6 linked regions of the Cricetulus griseus genome follow. The protein of the gene in region 4 interacts with the protein of the main gene of each other region in a pairwise test. Links are inferred from orthologs where the notes say so. Each region holds a gene or a part of one and is shown on either strand. Other genes may lie near its edges. The genes, in order: Rnf125, Rnf144b, Dtx3, Ube2l6, Rnf144a and Arih2.

The links.
Region 1: the proteins of Ube2l6 (region 4) and Rnf125 interact in a two-hybrid assay, tested with the Homo sapiens proteins (3 studies listed by BioGRID and IntAct). The link is inferred for Cricetulus griseus from reciprocal best matches to the Homo sapiens genes UBE2L6 and RNF125.
Region 2: the proteins of Ube2l6 (region 4) and Rnf144b interact in binary tests that used the Homo sapiens proteins (3 or more experiments, as listed by UniProt). The link is inferred for Cricetulus griseus from reciprocal best matches to the Homo sapiens genes UBE2L6 and RNF144B.
Region 3: the proteins of Ube2l6 (region 4) and Dtx3 interact in binary tests that used the Homo sapiens proteins (3 or more experiments, as listed by UniProt). The link is inferred for Cricetulus griseus from reciprocal best matches to the Homo sapiens genes UBE2L6 and DTX3.
Region 5: the proteins of Ube2l6 (region 4) and Rnf144a interact in a two-hybrid assay, tested with the Homo sapiens proteins (2 studies listed by BioGRID and IntAct). The link is inferred for Cricetulus griseus from reciprocal best matches to the Homo sapiens genes UBE2L6 and RNF144A.
Region 6: the proteins of Ube2l6 (region 4) and Arih2 interact in binary tests that used the Homo sapiens proteins (3 or more experiments, as listed by UniProt). The link is inferred for Cricetulus griseus from reciprocal best matches to the Homo sapiens genes UBE2L6 and ARIH2.

Annotation. Positions count from the first base shown.
Region 1 is NC_048595.1:216,036,427-216,039,926, reverse strand, and holds part of Rnf125 (E3 ubiquitin-protein ligase RNF125), read left to right. Parts: intron 1-349; coding exon 350-440; intron 441-2,128; coding exon 2,129-2,236; intron 2,237-3,500. UniProt on the Homo sapiens protein: E3 ubiquitin-protein ligase that mediates ubiquitination and subsequent proteasomal degradation of target proteins, such as RIGI, MAVS/IPS1, IFIH1/MDA5, JAK1 and p53/TP53.
Region 2 is NC_048596.1:266,980,782-266,983,245, reverse strand, and holds the end of Rnf144b (E3 ubiquitin-protein ligase RNF144B), read right to left. Parts: intron 2,129-2,464; coding exon 2,039-2,128; intron 642-2,038; coding exon 501-641; downstream 1-500.
Region 3 is NW_023276806.1:130,519,644-130,523,877, forward strand, and holds the start of Dtx3 (probable E3 ubiquitin-protein ligase DTX3), read left to right. Parts: upstream 1-1,434; 5' UTR 1,435-1,534; exon of another isoform or gene 1,535-1,555; intron 1,556-1,660; 5' UTR 1,661-2,149; intron 2,150-3,410; 5' UTR 3,411-3,469; exon of another isoform or gene 3,470-3,531; intron 3,532-3,619; 5' UTR 3,620-3,688; coding exon 3,689-3,689; exon of another isoform or gene 3,690-3,699; coding exon of another isoform or gene 3,700-3,700; intron 3,701-4,040; coding exon 4,041-4,234. UniProt on the Homo sapiens protein: Regulator of Notch signaling, a signaling pathway involved in cell-cell communications that regulates a broad spectrum of cell-fate determinations.
Region 4 is NC_048599.1:90,735,785-90,739,998, forward strand, and holds the start of Ube2l6 (ubiquitin/ISG15-conjugating enzyme E2 L6), read right to left. Parts: upstream 2,801-4,214; 5' UTR 2,716-2,800; coding exon 2,689-2,715; intron 1-2,688. UniProt on the Homo sapiens protein: Catalyzes the covalent attachment of ubiquitin or ISG15 to other proteins. Functions in the E6/E6-AP-induced ubiquitination of p53/TP53. Promotes ubiquitination and subsequent proteasomal degradation of FLT3.
Region 5 is NC_048600.1:29,099,032-29,102,531, forward strand, and holds part of Rnf144a (E3 ubiquitin-protein ligase RNF144A), read right to left. Parts: intron 105-3,500; coding exon 1-104. UniProt on the Homo sapiens protein: E3 ubiquitin-protein ligase which accepts ubiquitin from E2 ubiquitin-conjugating enzymes UBE2L3 and UBE2L6 in the form of a thioester and then directly transfers the ubiquitin to targeted substrates.
Region 6 is NC_048597.1:216,779,009-216,781,640, forward strand, and holds the end of Arih2 (E3 ubiquitin-protein ligase ARIH2), read right to left. Parts: intron 1,329-2,632; coding exon of another isoform or gene 1,296-1,328; exon of another isoform or gene 1,274-1,295; coding exon 1,190-1,273; intron 977-1,189; coding exon 905-976; 3' UTR 501-904; downstream 1-500.

The sequences.
Region 1 (3,500 bases), on a different chromosome or scaffold from region 4:
TATGGTGACAAATGCCTATAACTACAGCATTCAAGGAAGCTGAGGCAGATTGATTGCTGAGAGGTTCAGGAAAGCCTGAACTACATAGCAAGTCTCTTGTCTCAAAACTAACAAACCAGAAAAGCAAGCCATGTGGTGGCACATACTCATAATCCCAGCACTTAGGGGCTAGAAGCAGGAGGACCAGGGTAAGCCTGGGCTGCATAGAGACACCCCGGCCCCCTCACAGAAAAGATACTAACCTAGCTATAGTCTGTACAGTCTGTTGGTTTTTTAAATTTCTAATTAGGTGGCTATTCTATTTTGACCACTGTTTTAGTGGTTGTAATTCATTCTCTGCTCTCTCCAGGTGTGTATGTCCATTCTGTCAGAGGGAACTGGATGAAGACTCTTTGCTGGATCATTGCATTACCCACCATAGATCAGAGAGGAGGCCTGTGGTAATGATTCCTACCTATTACCTGTCTGTCTGAATATAGTGTCTGAATTTAAGATATATTAGAATCTGGGCATCTTGGGTCGTGCTTGTAATCTCAGTGCTTGGGAGGTAAGGAAAAACAGATGCTGCAGGTTTGAGGCCAGTCTGGGCTGCACAGTGAGTTCTGTGCTAGCACTTACTTATTTTCTAATTTTTAAAGTTACTACATTTATTTATCTGTGTGTTCACACCAAGTTCTCCTGTGGAGATGAGAGAACTTTGGGGAGTCTTTTGGGAGAGTACTTTTGGCACAACTGGTGTCAAGTGCTTTTACCCAAGAGCATTTCACCAACCCCAAGAAACTCTATGTAATGTTGTGTTGCTGGGCATGATGGCACACACCTTTGGAAGGCAGAGCAGGTGGATCTTTGTGAGTTCAAGACAAGCCTGGTCTACATAGTGAGTTCTAGGATAGGCAGGTCTACAACAGTGAAGCCCTGTAATTTATTTTTAATTCTTAAGAGAACAATATTCAGCCGGGCGTTGGTGGTGCACACCTTTAATCCCAGCACTTGGGAGGCCGAGGCAGGTGGATCTCTGTGAGTTCCAGGCCAGCCTGGTCTCTAGGGCGAGTGCCAGGATAGGCTCCAAAGCTACACAGAGAAACCCTGTCTCGAAAAACAAAAAACAAAAAACAAAAACAAAAAAAAGAAAAAGAAAAAGAAAGAAAAGAAAACAATATTCAGATGAGAAAAATAAATGCATAGAATCTCACCATGCAGCCTTAGCTGGCCTGGAATTTTCTTTGTGGACCTGACTGGCCTTCAACTCACAGAGATCTTCCTGACTATAAATATAATTTTTTAATATTGAGATATGAAGCCAAGTGTAGTAGTAGAATGTTGTTTAAGGTCAGACTTGGCCACAGTAGATTCAAAGCTAGCCTGAGAACTTTATGAGAAACAAAACAAAACAGTGCTAGGAAGATGGCTTAGTCAGTAAAGTGCCTCACACAAACAGGAAGACCAAGTCTGTTTCTCTGCACTCTCTTAAAATCTGAGTGTGATGGTGTGGTACCCACCTGGAGTCCCAGGACTGAGAGCTAGCCTAGCTTAATTGCTTAGCTCCAGGTTCATTGAGAAGCTCTGTCTTCTCAATTGAGAAACATTGAGATGACTCGGTGTTTAAGAATACTTGCTGCTCTTGCAGGGGACCTAGGTTCAGATCTCAGCACCTATGTGGTACCATTCAGCAATCTATAACTTCAGTTTCAGAATATCTAATGCTCTCTTCTGGGTTCTATGGGCACCAGGCAGGGATATGGTACACATATTATATTCAGGCAAACACTCATACACATAAAAGTCAATAAATCATTTTTTAAAAAAAATCCTTAAAAACTGTATGGCACCTTAAATACAGTGGAAATAAAAAATGAAAATAAATTAAGATCATGAGGTGGAGAACTGAGGAAAACACCTGACACTGGCCTCTGACCTTCACATGAACATGCACAGACATGACCCTGTACATGACATGCAAACACAAGAACACATGTATACATCACTCCTACAGAAACTAAGCAAACAAAATGCAATGTTGAGGTATGCCCAATGGATTCATAGTTAAAATTCACATTCAATAGTGACTTCTTTTTTAAAATTCTGGGATTAATAATTATTTAAACTATTTATTGGTCTTTTTTTCTAGTTCTGCCCGCTTTGCCATTTACTACCTAATGAGAGCCCAAGTACCTTCAATGGCAGCTTAATTAGACATTTGCAAGTCAGCCACACTTTGTTTTATGATGATTTCCTAGTAAGTATATTTCTACCTTTTACATTATGCTTTTGTATTGTTAAGCTTACTTTTAAAACTCCCCATGAATAAAATTATAAAAAAATTGAGCATGTAGGAAAGTGTATAGATTAACATTAGCATTAAGGAGAATGTCATGTCTGTAGAGTAGCATTCACTACTAATATTGAAGTAGTCTTCTTTCAACAGCTGTGGTGGTGCACACCTTTGATCCCAGCCCTGGGGAGACAGAGGCAGGCAGAGCTCTGTGAGTTCAAGGACATCCTGGGCTACATAGTAAGTTCCAGGCCAGCCAGAGCCACCCAGTAAGACTCTGTCTCAATGAACAAACTAAAACCATAGACTGAACTTCCAATAGCAATTTCACCTTTTGTTTTAGAAGTGAGAGGAACTGGAGAGGGATAGGGTTCTTACTACATTTTGTTTTTACCTATAGAAGTGCTGATATGAAGCTTAAATTTCACTTTGATGCATAAAGAAGCAAGAAGAGGATTTTGTTGAAATTTTTCTGTCCGTAAATCAGTAATTAATAGAACTGTTAGTATTCTGAATCCTAGGAATGTCCTTCTTTTTCCCCAGTACTAGAGATTCACCCTGGGGTCTTGTCCATTCTAGGAAAATACTGTCATTCAACTGTGACCCCCCTCCCCCCCAAAAAAAAAAACTAGCAGGGATGTGTAAACTTTATTCCAGGTATGTGTGAAATGTAGAGAACATCCTGATCTGACAAGGCTTCCTTTCTTTTACTTTTATAAATAAATCTTAAGGTTTTAATTTACTTTTTACTTATGTCTATGTGTATGTTGTGGGTGGGGGGGTGTTTGTCCAGTAAGGTTAGAAGTGGACATCAGATTCCCTAGCGGTTGTGAGCCACCTAATGTGGTGTTGTAGAGTTTGAGACCACTGGGAAAAGACCCCAGAGTCAATTATAATTAAACAAATTTATTAAAGGGACTCAATCTCTCATCCAAATCAGAGATGTGCCTCGAAGATGCAGCTGAGGGAAGGGCTTTTAAAGGTGACATCCACAAAAAATGTTCTGCTGTACCAAGATTAGATGGTCGAGGTGACCTCAAAATAGTTCTTGAATGTCTGTACAAGCAAATTACAGAAGCCAAAACCAGCAATTAGTCATAGCATAACAAGCGCATGGTCATGGTTGTGCATTAAGGAGTCAGAGATGCTGGGAATGCATCTTCCAGGAGCTTGAGTCAGAGACAAACAGCTATTGGGTACCAAGGTGCATACATGCCTAGCACAAAAT
Region 2 (2,464 bases), on a different chromosome or scaffold from region 4:
ACTCCTGAGATAAGCAGCCAGCTCTATTGCTCATAGAACTTCTTACTATGCTAGTCTTATCCTTCCCCTCTGACTCTTGGCTTCTGCCATGTGACTCGTGGCAGTGGAATCAACACAGACTTTTGCTCAGTTTGCAATGCCACCAAGCACAGCAATGCCATTATTACACTGAATATTCATCCAGGCTCCTTAGGTTTGGACGGAAGATGAGCAGCCTGGTGGGATCCTTTGGATGGCAAGATGGTGATGCGTTAAGAGTTTCCCAGGCAAGGGCGAAGCTCCCAGCCTGCTCCACAGACACAGTCTGGACTGTTGCATCTCGACACGCAGGAACACTGGCACCCGGGACTTGGCCTTTTCCAACACCGAATGCTGTCAGGCAAGTTCAGGGTCTGGACACAGAGGCACTTCCAAAGTTTGGCAAGGAGAAGGAGGCAAGGTTGCTAAGTGGGGCTTTATCGCTGCGCTGTCTCATATAACCCAGATGTCTGTGTAGGTAACTAAGTTGTGGATGGATCATGCTTTTTCTTCTTGCCTCGACAGGACTTGCAGACACAGCAGATTATACATGGAGAGGCCAGGAGTAGCAGGGGTGAAGTCACCAAGGCAATAATGCCTAATCCCACAAGGATCCCTACCACCTATAAATTGAAGAGAAAATCCTGTTTCAGAAGTTACATCATCGTGGATGTGTACATGCTTCCAAGTGTAATGGCCTTTATGGTGTGAATGTGTGTGTCTCCCCCTTCCAAATCCCCATGTTGAAACCTTCATGCTCAGTGTGATGGCACTTGGAGAGGGGAGCCCTAGCTGAGACTCTGGAGCCTTGGTGGTACCAGGGAGCTCAAGAGTTCTCCTCCACTCTCAGCTTTCTGCCGTGGGAGAACACAGCAATAAAACTATCATCTATGAACAGGAGGAGTGCCATGAGTGTCACGCCTCATTGCCAACATATCTAGATCTAGAATCATCTAAGAAACACACCCCTGAATGTGTCTGTGGGCACATTTAATCAGGATTAACTGAGAAGGGAAAATGTGTGATGCCATCCCATGGGCTGGGCATTGGATTGAATAACAAAAATAAAAAAGAAGAAAGCCTGATGGATGCTCGTATTCCCCTTTCACTGATTCCTGCTCTGCTAAGACATAAGGAGGCCCAGCCTCAAGTTCCACTGGCGTGAACTCTGCCATGTCTTCCCCACCATGATGGACCATATGTCCTCAAACCATGAGCCAAATTGAACTCTTGCTCCTTTAAGTCCTGAGACAAGTGTCTAACATAAGGACCCTCAGCAGAACCCGTCCACATTGATACCCGAAGTTCAGACTTGCAGCATCCACAACTAGAAAGAAGCCATCTTTGTTGTTCCAGTCACCCGGTCTATAATAAATAGTCTGTTAGATGAATGACTAGGATGCTGTCTCAGGCACATTTAGCAATGTTCTAAACTGGACACAAATTACAAAGCCACAAAGGACTAAATCAAGGGAACAAACAAAAGGCTGACTCAAGCTTAACGGTTAACTCCAAACCCTGAACTGTGGGTGTTGGCTCGTTCTCTATCAGGGCTTCTCTAACAGTCTCACAGGGACATTAATAATGTTTGTTAGGATATGAGCATTGGTTTCCTCAAAGGGAGCATAGCCTTTGATAAATACAAAACACTATTAAAAAACAAACCACAACTCCCTTTGAACCTGCCACATAAACACACAATGACATGTACAGAGGGATCCGAGGCCCGGCAGGAGCCCATCGTATTGGGGAACTCTCCTTTGATGGCTGGTGTGCTCTAACTGCTTGGAGGAAACTCCTCCCATGTTTTGCAAGAGCAAAGAACATGGGTATTCACTTGGCTGCTCACTGTAGTGCTCAGTTCTCTGGTGCCTCTGTCCCTCAGCAATTGTGCTCTTGAATTAACTTCAGGGGGCTGCCCCATTGTTCTCTCTCTCCTTGTACCAGAACCTCCCAAGAGGGCATGGGAAAGCAAGGAAGCTACCTAAGTCCAATGCATCTCATGGAGGAGGGAGGGTACCTGTGTTCGGTTCCACATTACCGATGCTCTCGAGTGGCCCAGCTTATTCCTGCATGGCCCTTTGTCATAATGCCTGAGGAATATGTCATTCTGAAACACAAAGAGAGGAGTTTCAGTAAGTGCACAAAGTGGAGTCGAGAGGTGGATATTAGGTGCACAGGTCACCTAACGATATGAATGACTTCTTCTAGGAATCCCAACCCGTCCTCTTCAGCTTGGCTTGCAGCTCTGTAAATCACCCAGGAGACAAATCGTAACAAACTATTGGCTGAGGCAACAGAAAACCGAATGACCCGATCAACCATCTCCGACAGGTAACTGACAGTGAGCTCTAGCAGAGGTTTGCACGGAACATGAGAACCATAAGCCAGGAGCATGCCTGACGTGAGAAATGCCACCAACTGACAGCTAATGGGGAAGGGAAGC
Region 3 (4,234 bases), on a different chromosome or scaffold from region 4:
GCAGAGTCAGTGAGAGTTCAAGGCCAGCTTGAACAGCCTGGGCTACAGAGTAAGACATGGTCTCAGGAAAACTCAAAGAAGGTATGGGTTTGAGCATTGGAGATAACTCAGTGGATAGAGTGCTTGCCTAGCGTGTACAAAGCTCTGGGTTCCATCTCAGCACCATGCAAACCAGATGTGGTGGTGCACACCTATAATCTCAGCACTTGGGAAAAGAAGGCAAGGGGCATCAGGTATTCAAGGTCACCCTCAGTTCCATAGCGAGTTTGAGGCCAGCCAAGGATACGTGAGACTATCTGGGAAAACAAGATTCTGCCATGAGATAGACAGTCTTGTCTCTGCCCAGAGCCTTTGGAACCAAGACGGGCATTGTTGCTGTTCTGTTCCCCTTTAGACCTCCACACCCTGGGAGTGGGGGGTGGGCAGTAAGGGCACAAAGCTATGAGGTCCTCAGGGAGAAGCCCCCTTCTCACCTTTACACCAAAGGAAGCAGCAAAAGGCAGGCCCAGCTGGGGTGGGAGGGGCCTGCCTGCTGGGCCTCTTCCATCCATCCCATAGTCACCCTTTTCCCTGTTGATGCAATAAAGCCCCATGGCACCAGCAGCAGTTCCTTAGAACTGGATTCTCCAACCAAGAGGTTGTGTATTATGGGCAGAACGGTCATCTTCATTTATTGCTTCTGTTTTCCATCATTTTTTATTAATAAAAATCTCTATTTACCTGTATTTACTCCCAATATCACAATAAAATAAATTATTCGGTCCAAATCATTCACAGAAACTTTTTTCCCTCTGAAAATGTTGAGGGATCCCTGTGTTTACAGGATGCAGAGACCAAATGAAGAATATTGGTCTTCAAGGTGTTGTTGGGCTCCTGAATATGTGGGAAGTTTCCAAGATGGCTGTGGACTTATAGTTGTGGGGTGGGGTCATGGGAGTGGAAAACATTCCTCAACTTTGTGGGAATTCAGCAGTGATGGTGGCCAGGGAAGGGTAGGATGGTGCTGCCCCTCTTTCCCCAGTGCTCTGGCTACATCTCCTAACTTGAGTGGGCCTCTCAGCCTAACAGCTATTTGGGGAGGAATTCTCTGTTCACCCAGGCTTCCTGGGAAAGCTATCTACTTAGAGGGCAGGAGGAGTACAACAAGGTCCTGGGAAAGCGAAGGAGTGACCAGTCCTCCGGTTCGTGGGGGAGGGGATGGGAAGGGATGGATGACGCGGTTGTGGCTGCTCTGGGAGACTCAGGAGGTCTTGGCTGAGGTCTTGGCTGGTGGAAAAACCTGGCTTGATGTGGCCTCGGGGAAGAGAGTTGCAGGAGGCGGAGACTGTTCTGGTGAGAAGCAGGGCAGAGCTTTTTTTTCTTTGGGAATTTTTAACTCTTTTGAGCCACGTACTTGACAGCAACACCACCCCAAGCCTTTTTTTTTTTTTTTTTTTTTCTGTTCACTTCGCATTCTGCACCAACCTGTGTCCCTGTTTGTGGAAAGCTAGTCACCCGTCCCCATCTGGCAACAGGCTGTGGGGGGTCACCGGAGGTAACACTAGCAGGAGGGAGGGGATGGAAGTAGTTTAGTCACAGGGTTTATTGTGTAGTACCAGTGTTTTCCTTTTTTTTTTTTTCCAGAACTCTTCCCATACAACATTTTTTTTTTCTTTTAAAGCTCTTACAGCCTAAGATTTTAAAAAAAGACTGCCTTCCCCTCCAAATCCATACACCCACCGCACTGCTCACGCACCCATCCACTACCGGCTCCCAAAGGTGCCACGCAGCTGGCTGGGGAAGAAGAAGGGGAGAGGGCTCCTCCGGGAGGAGGGAAGCCAAAAGAGCGGCGTTTCTAAGGGATTTCACCTCCTACCCTCGGTTACATGACGCCACCCCTCCCTCCAAAGCCTGGATCTGCGCCTCCATTTTTGTTTTGGGGCAGAGAGGCAGGGGCTCCCGGGTAGCAGGAGGAGGGGACCAAGGGAAACGGTGATCATCACCCGCCCAGGGGAGAGGGGTGCTGTCCTCCCTCCTTCCTCTTCATCGGCGCCCCGGCTTCCCCTGCCACCTTCCCGGGGTCTTCCCCCGCCCCTTGTTGCTAAGGCCCGGACCGTCATCCCAGCAACAGCCTCAGTCATGTGACCGGCAATGGCGGCGCTGACGAGAGGTAGGTGAGCCCGGCGCCCCCACACCCACCGCGTGCCCCCCAGGCCCGATCGGCACCCTCGCGAGCCCCCCGAGCCCCTCCGTCCCCTCCTCCGCCTTTGACCTCCGGCGCTCGCTCTCCCGGCGGCGCTGCGAGCCGGCACCATCGGGGCCGGGCCCAGCATCATCCTGCCGGCACCTCCAGCCCTCGGCCTCCATTTGGGGGTTCTGAGGGCCGCAGTCGGGCGGACACACGCCCTCACCCAGCGGCGGGACTCCGGGGCTTCCTCGAGTAGGGATGCGGGAGTTGGCTTCGGGTTGGATGGATCTGGGGGCCAGGTCTGGGGGAGGAGAAGGGTGGGGGTGCCTCGGTGGACACCCCCCAGGGGACCCTCGCCCTTTCTCGGTGTCCCTGCCTGGGGCCGCTGCCCGGAGGGAGTCACTGGGCTCCTGTCCGGCCTGGTTTGCCTCAGAGGAATGCTAGACCAGACTAAACTGTGGCCCCGCCTCCTTGTGCTGTGCCAGCAGGGCTTGGAGCTAGGACACCGAGATCCTGGGTCCTCTGTGCCGGGGTGGGGGCATGCTACGGTGCACGGGCCATGTGGGCTGGGACTCTAGAGTTTCATCTTAAGGGCCCTAGGATGAAGGCACTGAGGGACAGCGGCTTCTTCTTTGGATGAGTCAAGGAATTGAGGTCACTGTTAATGGCCCCCTCTTCCTAATTGAGCCGCACTCCGGGAACAGCCCCGGAGCTGAATGTGACAGGACTCAGGGGGGAAAACGTGGGGGCCCTCTAGCTGAGCTCCTGCTTGAGCCCTGCCCCTCCTAAATGCAGATCCAAGAGCTGACAACAGCTCTGCAGGCAATGGGTTTAAAGGTGACAATGAGAACTTTGTTATTGCAGGGACTGCTATCACTTTGCTGGCATCCCTAACAGACTTCGCTCTCAGGGAAAGGTCCCCCGTCAACAACAGGGACTTGACTTATTTGAGAATGTGGAGTAAAGAAATGAGTTGAGGAACATAGGAAATATTTCTGTCAGTGTAGTCAATCTGAGGGAGATGGCAAGTGCAGGCTTCATCCCCAGGGCCTTTGTCTGAACCTAGGATCTCTCTTCCTCTGCACTGGGGTTGGTGGTGGTGGGGAGCTGGTCTGGTGAAGTTCCTGAGCAATTTGAGAGGCTGTGCCTGGAATTCTGCAGGGGAGGAGAGGCGATATAAGTGTTTTGTTTCTGGGCTGACTGAGGAAGTGCTATCATAACTCTCTACCTTCTTCATCCCCAGCTCTGGTCAGCTCAATGTGGAAGTAGAGAGACTTGCACCATCTCCCATGGTCTTTTCAGGTACCTGCACCCCCAGGGGACGCTCAGTTCATGTTCTTCCCATGCCCAGGACACTACTCCAGGTTCCTGTCTGTTTCAAAGGCTACTGAGTTGGGGCCTGTGGGGATTGGAGAACCTATTCTTACTTCCTTTTCTTTCTCATCCCACTAGGCCAACGGTCTCCAAGTAGCAGGGAAAAGGAGTGAGCCTGCATGCCAATCCTAAGCTCTTCCGGATCAAAGTGAGCAAAAAGTAGGGGAGGGAAGTCTCCCTTCTCATTTGAAAAGCCTATTTTTCTTTTCTATGAGGGGAAGGGGCAGGTTGCTGGTGGTCAGGGGAGAAATGAAAGAAACAAGTAAGGTTGGTGCTTGGTTTAGATAATGATAAAATATAGAAACTCTTGTTCCCCAGCAAGTGCTGGGACTATGGGAGAGAAGGGGTGATAGAAAAACAGTTTGCAGGAGGTATTGGGGGTTGGCTTTGAGGAACACAGGAGGTGATGTGAGGTTTGGAGGGAACCTGGAGTAGGAAGCACTTATATGTGTCAAATGGGGACACTCCCCACGCTGAGTCCCTTTCACCCTGGGGGCAGTGTCGTTCGTCCTGTCCAGAATGGCAGCCTGTGGAGGCACCTGCAAGAACAAAGTGACTGTCTCCAAGCCTGTGTGGGACTTCCTGAGCAAGGAGACCCCAGCCCGGCTGGCCCGGCTTCGGGAGGAGCACCGAGTGTCCATCCTCATAGATGGGGAGACTTCTGACATCTACGTGCTCCAGCTCTCCCCACAG
Region 4 (4,214 bases):
GTGGGGGGGAAGAGACGTTGAAAAGCATTCACACATTCAAGGCAGTGCAGTCCTCTGGGAGAATGAACAGATACAAACTAGTGGTTCTTGAGAATCCAGGGATACCTTTACCCACTAGAGCACATTTGCCAATATCTAGAAATATTTTCCATTGTCATAAATGGGGTGGGTACTACGACAGTTCAGCAGGTAAGGTTCACAGATGCTGATGAAACATCCTACAAAGAATTATCTGGTCTCAAGGGTCAACAGAGACAAAAGTTGAGAAATGCTTGTGTAAACACAGGGCCCTTCCCTGCTGTAAACTTTCGGTACTCCCTCTCCCAAATTCATAAACTTCCCACACTTCCTTCTATCTCTCAGCTTCTCTTCCACATCTAGTCACACCAGCAGATTGCTTCCTGTGCCCTCTACTTAGAGCCATGACCATTCATTTGCCTATTCTACCTAGCAACAAGGTAGAATTGCTTGGACAAGAATAAAGGCTTAGGTAGAACACAGATCTTGAGCGGACATGTTCTGGGCTGGAGATGCAGCTCAATTGGTAGTGTTTGCTTGGCATTCATGGAGCCCTGGGTTCAAGTCCCAGCACTGCATAAAACTTGATAAAGTGGTGCTCATCTCCGATCCCAGGACTTAAGAGATGGAGGCAGAAGAATCAAGAAACCAGAGGTTGGTCTGGTGAGATAGCTCAGCAGTTAGGTGCACTTGTTTTCCTAACTCTGGATTCAATTCCTAGCACCCACATAGTGGCTAACAACTATCTCTGAAACAATCAGTTACAAGGGATCTTGCCTCTGGTAGCACCAGGCATGCAGATGGTTCACAGATAATACATGCAGGCAGAATACCCACATACATAAAATAAAAATAATAATTAAAAAAATTAAAGGTCATTGTCAGCTACATATCAAGTTTGAGGCCAACCCGGACATAAAACCCTATCTCAAAAACAAAAACAAACAAAAAATCGAAGGGGAATTTTCTCTTTTACCACTGGGAATACTCGGATTTTTTGTGCTTTGGTGAATTCTGTCATGACTTTCCCATAATTGCTGAAATCCAAGCTAGGACACACAGCTCCTCCCAAAGTCTGCTAGTAAGTCACCTGATTTAGAGGAAATGAAAGTGAAGACACAAAGGCGGTTAAAAGCCCTGTGAGTTAGAGCCTCGTCAGTCTAGGCTCCAATTCCAGACCCATCACTCCTGCTGAATATCTGAATAGCACTGGTCACTCATGCTACTCTCTCTGATATCTCGGTGTCCTCCTCTGTAAAATGGGAAGTCATAATTATCTCACAGAGTTGCTATAAAATTAGATTTAAAAAATGGCCTGGCACTCAGGATTCTGGAGCAATACAAGCAAGTTCATCTCTTAGTGTTGAGGTAGCAAGGACCCTCTGCCCCATTGTGCTCCAGCCTCCAAATTTTAGTTCTGGGATGGGCCTGCTCTGGCCTTCTCCACCTTAAAGAATTTTCCTTTATGGAGCTGAGGACAGCAAACATCCCTTCTCACCGCAAGAAACAGTTTTTCCCTAAATTCTGCAGACTAGAGGGGACCTTTGGGGAGATCCAAAGCTTGGGGGTGCCAGCTCCCGCTCACCGGCGTTTCTCCTCTACGGTCTCCAATCGTGGCTCCAGCCCTCTAGACATTCCTAAGGAAACTGCCACCTTTCCATTTTTCCAGGTAGTATTCAAACAGTGAGTGTCCCAGATAGAAATGAACACTCAAAGGTGATAAGATTTTTGTTCCTAGCCGGGTGATGATGGCACACACCTTTAATCCCAGCACTCGAGAGGCAGAGGCAGGCGGATCTCTGAGAGTTCGAGACCAGCCTGGTCTACAGGAGCTAGTTCCAGGACAACCTCCAAACCACAGAGAAACCCTGTGTCGACAAACAAACAAAAGCAAACAAACAAAAAAGATTTTTGTTCCTTTTCTTCTCCCTGCCACCTGGCACTGGACTAGTAGAAAACAGGCATTTAGCATCTGTAGCGGACTGCATAAAAACCTACTCAGGGCATATTGATATTTTTTATTCAGGAACTATTCTGTATACTTTCATTCCAGGGACCGCCCATCCCCACCCCACTGCCCATCCACATCTCTAGCTTCTGAAAGTATCAAATTATGGGTCCACCCAGTAGGTGGCGCAACAGAACTCTGCCGGTGCCTGAGATACGCCCCACTAATAAACTTTCAGCGGAATTGAAACTGAAACCAGTTTGGGGAAGCTAATTCATTCTCATACTCACCCCACATACACACCCCCTAATACAACTCGGAAAGCTGGTGACAACTCTGTCTTGTATGTCCCCCATCCTGGCCCACAAACTCCAGCCCTACACACACACACACACACACACACACTCTCATACACACACGGAGGGAGGTAGAGGCAGAGGGAGGGAGGGAGGGAGGGAGGGAGGGAGAGGGAGAGGGAGAGGGAGAGGGAGAGGGAGAGAGAGAGAGAGAGAGAGAGAGAGAGAGAGAGAGAGAGAGAGAGAGAGAGAGAGAGAGAGAGAGAGAGACTCCGCCCACTCCTTCAGTGGGAGAGTGGGAGAGGGTGAGGATGCCTGGGTTTCAGCCCACCCTAGTACCCCTGATAAACAAAAGCACTCAAAGGTCAGCCGGGGAAAACCGAGGGAGTAGAGCTTGGGGTCGGGGATCACTAGAAAGGCGCTTACCTTCGCCACCCGTTTGCTGGCTGTCATCTTGGGTGGGAGTGTGGGGCAGCAGCAGACTCCCTCAGGTCACCGCTCTCGGAACCACAGCTCCGGAGCCCCACCCACATCTGCTCCACCCACAGGGACTCTAAGACGTGCTCCCCATCCCAACGGTGGATACCTGAAGGGCGCGGTCAAGTGCCCAGATCGGTGGTCTTGAATCCCAGAAACTCAGCTCTTTGTAGATAGGAGACTAAGTCCGCGGAGCACACTGCTCCCCTTGAGGGACATCACGCAGGAGCCTTGATGGAGTACATCCCCAGCCTTCATTAGCTTCCTCCATGCGGAGAACACACTCGCCAGAGATACTACCTTTGCAAACTTAGTTCTACTGCAGGTCTCTCTGACCTCCGGCCTAAGCCTTACCTCCAGAAAGATTCTCAGAGCTCTGGGCCAGGTCACTTTGCCTTTGTGGGCCCAGTGCCTCATCCAAAAAACGAGTGGGGACAGTGTAAACTGTATGCCCCCCAAGTATCGCTCCCTTAGTTGAGTGGGATCCTAGGTGCAGTGCAGCAATTGGGCCGAGATGCTACGATAGATGCTTCTTTTAGGTTGCTTGGCGCTGAGCATCACATGTGGATGCTGTTGGACCCATTCTCTTTTAGTTTTGGATGCTCTGTCGACCTAGAACACCTAGAAAGTGCCTACTGTAAGGCGATTTGGGAAACCGATGGGTAGGAGAAGCCTTAAGATAGAGTTCAGGAGCCTATTGTATTTTACTGCCAGCCGATTACAAACTATGGACCTACGGAGTGTCCTTATGAACAGTCAAAAGAGTCTCCACCCCTCTATGCAGGGGCAGAGATGCCTTTCCCTAGCCCAAGTTGAGACCACCATGTAATTAATAGCAGCCGCCCCCGCCCCCAATATTGAACAGCATCTAGGAGAAATTCTGCTGCTGTGATGAAACTAGGGAGGAGTCCACCTTCCCCACCTAATCCCTTGCAGTCCAGAAATTAGTATATTTTGAACCCCAAGTTTTGACCCAGTATGCCGCATGATTTTTTTTTTCTCTGTCAGGGATCCATATGTCTGCTTTGCTTCGTTTGCCAATTCTGTTTATTCAACCCAATAACTTTAACCAGATACCCCCTAAGTGATGGCAATGAACAGTACACCATCAGCAATTCCCTAAATATAGGTAGGGGATGAGGGAGCAGGGCACTTGAACCCATTTCTAGTTAGTCTTAAACAAGCACTTAATACCGAGTGTCAAGCACCATTTTAGGGAACACACCAGGCTGAGAAAGTGTGGTGTCTGTCGTCAGAGAAACTCTCAGGAAATTGAAACACAGAGAATTCAGCCTCTGAATTTTTTGTATGTTTGTAGTTTTTTGAGATAGGATCTCACTGTGTAGTCCTGACTGGCCTGGAACTTGCTGTGGACCAGGCTGGCCTAAAACTCAAGAGATCTGCCCACCTCTGCCTCCTGAGTGCTGGGATTAAAAGCCTACACCACCATGCCTGGCTTAGTCTCTGAATTTTTA
Region 5 (3,500 bases), on a different chromosome or scaffold from region 4:
TCATTCTCCTGAAGGTGGCCCTTTTTGGGGCATGCAGCATCCGGGCAGCTAATCGCAGTTTCTAGGCCTTCTTTGATTAAGAGTTCAACATACTGTTTCAGGCACTGGAAGAAAGAAAAGTGTATAAACACGTGCACATCCAAAATACCAAAGACCAAGTGATGTGTTAAGCAAACAGATAGCCATTAACCCTGAGAGCTTACCTTAACTACTGGCCTGGCGAGATATGCCTATTGGGGCAATAGTGGTATGGATGTTATAGGAATAACCAACTAGTTCCTGGTTGGATTTACAGCATGGTCATTAAGATGGAACTCATACTTGGTACTGTCAACTGCATATGGCACATGGTTGTCTAGGTCATGGGTCCTAAGGATGAATCCATGACTACTCTTCTGTTGAATAGAAATCATATTAAACTTCTCCCTAGGTTCTTATTATCATACCCTAAGAGGAGTGCATCTTTCCATCTTCATCAGAAAGGTTTCTTCAGTAGAGTAATTAATACAAGTCCCACAACTAGCCAATGTGCACAGAGGAAGAGACTTTTAAAATGTTCAGCTCTAAATGGGACAGCAATATCATATCCCTACTCACAAGGCTCGGGGACCATTGGAGAAGAAGAGGCAGAAAGACTGTAAGGGTCAGAGGGAGAAAAACAGCCTTTGCAAGATAAGACAGGGCAAGGGAGGGGAAGGCAAGGGAAGGAAGAAGGGAAAATGGTAAGATAAAGGGAGGGAAGGAGCAGAGAGGGAGGCCAAGGCCAACTTCCCAAAGCTACTTTCCTGAGACTTGACATCATGTGCAAAGTATTGCCCTGGGCTCTAAGCCAGTGTTTATCAACCTGAGGATCATGACCCCCTTGGGGCTCAAACAACCCTTTTACAGGGGCCACAAATCAGATATTCTCCATATCAGATATTTACATGATGATTCATAATAGTAGAAGTTATGAAGTAGCAATGAAAAGAATTTTATGGTTGGGATCACAACAACATGAGGAACTATATTAAAGCATTAGGAAGGTTGGCAACCACGGCTATAAACAGAAGCCTTTAGCTTGAGGCATCTGCCATGGCTCTGATGAGGACTCTGGCTCAGAATATGGCCCACCTACATGAGAGACGCTTTGGAGTTCTGTTTGAGGAACAGGATGGTGGAGTTATCAGAAGCAAACTCACTGCCATCCATGGAGGCCTTCCCAAAACAAGAGAGGGCAGGTAATCAGGAAAAGATAGGAATATCACCAAGTCCTGCCAGGGCTACAGTGCCACCCCACCCGGAACCTAGACAGCATTGCTGACCTGCTGACTCTTGACTTGGTGGTGAAGGTCTATTCTATGCCCTGTCCATGGTGGCAATGTGAAAAGGGAGCATGACCCTGCAGTCTATTGAGTCAGACAGACTCAGGCAATCTTGTATTCTCTACCAAGGCCATGGGGACACATCCTTGATGCATTTGGCTCCTAGCTCTCTAGATGATAAAATCCGAATGCCTGAGTTACTAGGCTTTCTTGACAGAAATAAAGAATATCTCAACACCTGGCACAAATCTTGGTATAGCAGCTAAATAAGCAGGGGCTGTTGTCTCATTTGTCCGCCTATGTGATTTGCCTTTTACAGTCACAGGCATAAAAAAGCCCAAATCCTTAGCAACGAGATCATTGCTTTACTGTCTATAATTAAATCTGTCTAATTTAGTCTCTTTAGGGTCCTGGAATGTCTTAAACCAAACAACCGAACTCAGAAAACTTGGACAGCTCTGGCCAGAGACCAATATAATGACCCAGCCTCATTCTCCCTCAATGGGATAAAGAACAATTAAACCAGGTGTGAAATGTATGCCCTCAGAGCTTCTCATAACCACACTGTTCAAAGGCTTGCTTGTGACCATAAGCAGTGAGTCACACTGGGTGACTGCAACCCCAAGAGCAAGCTCAGCAGACCAGTGAATTGCATCTCGGAGCAGCACACACTGTGCTTGTGTAGTGGGAATATTGATTTGTTTACTACAGAGTGTCTGCTCCTGCATCCATCAAAACCAGCCACGGCCCTCTTCCAGATGTAAAGTGGGTCATGACTCACAAGCCTTGTCTCCCAATCTAATGGCAAAAAGATGTCTTAAAATGAGTTCTCGAATACACACAAATTAGACAACCAGAGAAACTTCTGTTACAATAAATAAACATCCCGCAGACAGGAACTGACGCACTTTCTGATATATCTATCATCTTTCTTTAATCAAATGCCTTCCAAATACCAGACTGTTGTTAGTCACTTTGTCTCTGTTAGCCCAATAAGGAGTCCTAAATCCAAAACTGTGGGAGGTGTTATCACTCCCATTCACCACAGGGAAAGTGAGGCCCCGGGGAGTTAAACACAACCCAAGGCCACTTTCTACGAACAGAAGTACTAAGTCCCAGAGTAAAAGTGCTGAACTCAAAGGCTGACTCTTTTTTGTTGTTGTTGTTTGTTTGTTTTTGTTGTTTGTTTGTTTTTTGTCTTATTTCCCATTCTTTTTCTTCCTCAATTAACTCATTAAGTTGGGTCTGATGACTCAGGCCTGTAATTCCTGTACTTTGGTGGATGAGGCAATAAAATAATGAGTTCAATGTCACCCTGGCTATGCAGTGACTTCCTGTTATTATATATTATATTATATATTATATATTAATATATATAATATGATATTATATATTTTATATATTCTGAACCAGAGAGTTAAACACTAAAGAAAACCAAAACACATACACACAAACCACATACCATATACAAACATAACCACACACATACATACACACCACATACCACACACACACACACACACACACACACACACGACTGTTATAGCATAAGCAATCATTTTTGAAGCATCTCTGTTACATCAAAAACTGCTCACAGAACAAAGACTACACCTACTAACCCGACATCTGAATCAACACAGAAGCATGCCATATTTTCTACTGTCAACCTAACACAAACCTAGAATCACTTGGGAAGAGCCAACTTCAACTGGAAAATTGCTTCAATCGGATTGCCCAGTGGCCATGTCTATGAGGTACGGTCTTGATTGCCAAGTGATGTAGGAAGGCCTAGCCTACTGTGGGTATTGCCCTCCCTAAACAGGTGAGCCTGAGCTGTGTGAGAAAGGTAGCTAGATCCAGGGAGCAAGCCCATAAGCAGCCTTCCTCCAAAGTGTCTGCTTCAAGTTCTTGCCCTATCAGAGCTTCCTCAAAGATGGAGCGTAACCTGCAAGACGAAACAAATCCCTTCCTCTTCTGGTCATGGTGCTTATCACAGAAAACAAACCAAGACAGCAGAGTATAGTGTCACCTGGTATCACCAAAGGCTTGGGAGATGGAAGGTTGAGTCTGGGGACAAAGGAACTTCAAAAAAGAAGCGTCGACTGTGGAAAACAGGCATGGAGAGCATCAGTGCAGCTACAGAATGTTCTAGTCACTACACTTTCCACTGTGGCTTCCAACTCTTCGAAAGAATTG
Region 6 (2,632 bases), on a different chromosome or scaffold from region 4:
GGCCACATGTGACACTGGTCAGAGTACACCACTTAAATACCGGATCAAAAGAAACGACCAAAGAAAAGGAAACTTATTTGGGGGAACAATTCCTTTCAAATGTGGATCTCTCATCTTTACAGGACAAAAGGAAGCACCAGTCTCCCAGTCCGGAGGTTCGAATGCCAACCTCTGCACTGCCGTGGGTTCTGGATTGGTGGCCCAACTCACTAAGTCTCACATTCAATAAAAGCAAGCCCATAGTGAAACCCTGCTATGCTCCGTGCCCTTGCTGCTCAGCTACGGCAGAAGGTACTTGACTCTCTGTGCTCCATGCCTGTTATGCAGGCCAACTCAGTTCCTTACCATCTGCCACACATACTCTTCCCTTGGGACTCCAGGTAACGTCAAAGAGGATGCTGGAAAGCAGGGACCACCCCAGGAACCCCGGCAGCACAGACATTCTGAGGCTCGGTGGGTGGGCAGCATCAAGTTACATTCTAAGTAAAGTAGCTAGAGGGTAAACACTCCAATGCCAATTTATTTTCAAAAGGGCTCTGTGTTATCCTATGGTTTGCCTTTCTTTCAAATCGTACAACCTTTGAAAATTACATAAGTTGTAATGATCTAATACTATTAATAGCCATTCAGGAAAAAAAAAAGTTCCCTCCCTCCCAACAACCATCCAGGGAGAATTTAAAAGTCCTTACTAGAGGCCAGTTCAACATGGCCTCTACCCTGGTAGAAACAAAAAGCAAAAAGATAAGGAGAAAACAAATTGACTAAGAGGTGTGTTGCCAGTGTCTCTCAGGAGTGGGCCTGGCTGTTGCCTGGGGTCGTGAAAGGCAGAGCCTGCAGCATGCAGTGTGGTAGCCGGAAGGCCTCACAGCTACGTCTTCCTCACCCCGGCACATCCACAGCCTGCCTAGGTGTCGTGAAAGTCCTTCAGCAGGGTTCTTCTCCGCTGCTCGGCAATGTGCATTTGGTTTTCCAAGTCCTGTATAAGGGACACACAGCAGGTGTTTACAAGTCCCAATGCTAGGAGCAGAGAGTAACCAAAGCCACAGCCATCGTTATTAGGGGCTCCAAGTAGTCTAAAAAAAAATCAATCTTCCACCCTCGACTGCAGCAGCGTAAGTCCCATCCCCAGTACAACCCCCTAGTAGTATGAGTGCCTTTCCTTACCTGCAATAGGGCAAAAGGTACTTACCCCTCTATCATAGCTGTCTGCACGCTCAACTTTCCACGAAAGGTTTTCAATCTCAGCCTCCAGCTGAGCCTGCTGGTATTCAAACTGTATGGGCAGAGCAGGAGGGTCAAAAGGAGAGGGGGCTGTAGCCGGGCAGGGCCTGCAGATGGAGGGTACATGCAGCACCTCAGGCTCGAAATAGCAACTGACAAGCCTGTCACTGTCCTGAGAGTGCCTACTACTCGTTATGCCTGAGCTGGAAAACATCCAAAGAGGTCCAGAAGAGAGGGGCAAACAGCAAGAAAATATTTGTCTTCCACCACCAATGGAAGGTGAGAAACTTAAAGCCAAAGGAAAAGATATTCTCAAAATAATGGGACACAGATGCTGCAAAAGTGAAGTTAAAAGGGATATTCTCAAGACACGGTATTCATTCAACATTTTAACTTTCCCCCAGTCATCTAGCCTATCAAACCCTCAAAATCAGGGCTAGGGATGCATCTCAGTTGGTGAAATACCTACCAAAATGTACAAAGCCTTGGGTTCAGTTCCCAACATTGTAAATTGTGTATGGTGGTTCATCCCTGCAATCCTAATACTAAGGATAAAAGCTCTAGGTCCTCCTTGGTTACTTTGCAAGTTTGAGGCCAGCCTGAGCTATATGAAACCCTAACTCTATGCATAAAGACTTTTCTTGGTCTTATTTGTGACAGTGAAAATAGAAACAACTGTCATTTCAAATGATGATACAATAAGGCAATACAGATGGAACATTTACATAGCCATTAAAAAAAAAAATCAGCCTTTGGGGGTGCACACCTTTGATCCCAGCACTCTCGAGGCAGAGGCGGGCGAATCTCTGTGAGTTCGAGGTCAGCCTGATCTACTGAGAGAGTTCCAAGACAGGCTCCAAAACAATACACAGAAACCCTGTCTGGGGGGAGGGGGCGGGGGACAAAACAAAATTCAGCATAATTAGCGACAGCTATAACAATGATAAACTTGTAACAATAAGGCCGGGTGTGGGCGTTAATCCCAGCACTCGGGAGGCAGAGGTAGGTGGATCTCTGAGTTCGAGGCCATTCTGGTCTCCAGAGTGAGTGCCAGGACAGGCTCCAAAGCTACACAGAGAAACCCTGTCTTGAAAAACCAAAAAGTAACAATAAAATGTACACATGCATCTGAGATAAGAGTTTCTCTATATAATAGCCCTGGCTGTCCTCAACTTTTCTTTGTAGAGCAGGCTGGCCTTGAACTCAAGAGATTTGCCTGATTCCGCTTCCTGAGTGCAGAGATTAAAGTATTGAGTGCCACCACTGCACGAGGTCATATTTTTTAAAAAAGATTTATTTATTATGTATATAGTGTTCTGCCTCCATGCCAGAAGAGTTACATCAGATCATTATAGATGGTTGTGAGCTTCCATGTGGTTGCTGGGAATTGAACTCAGGACCTCTGGAAGAG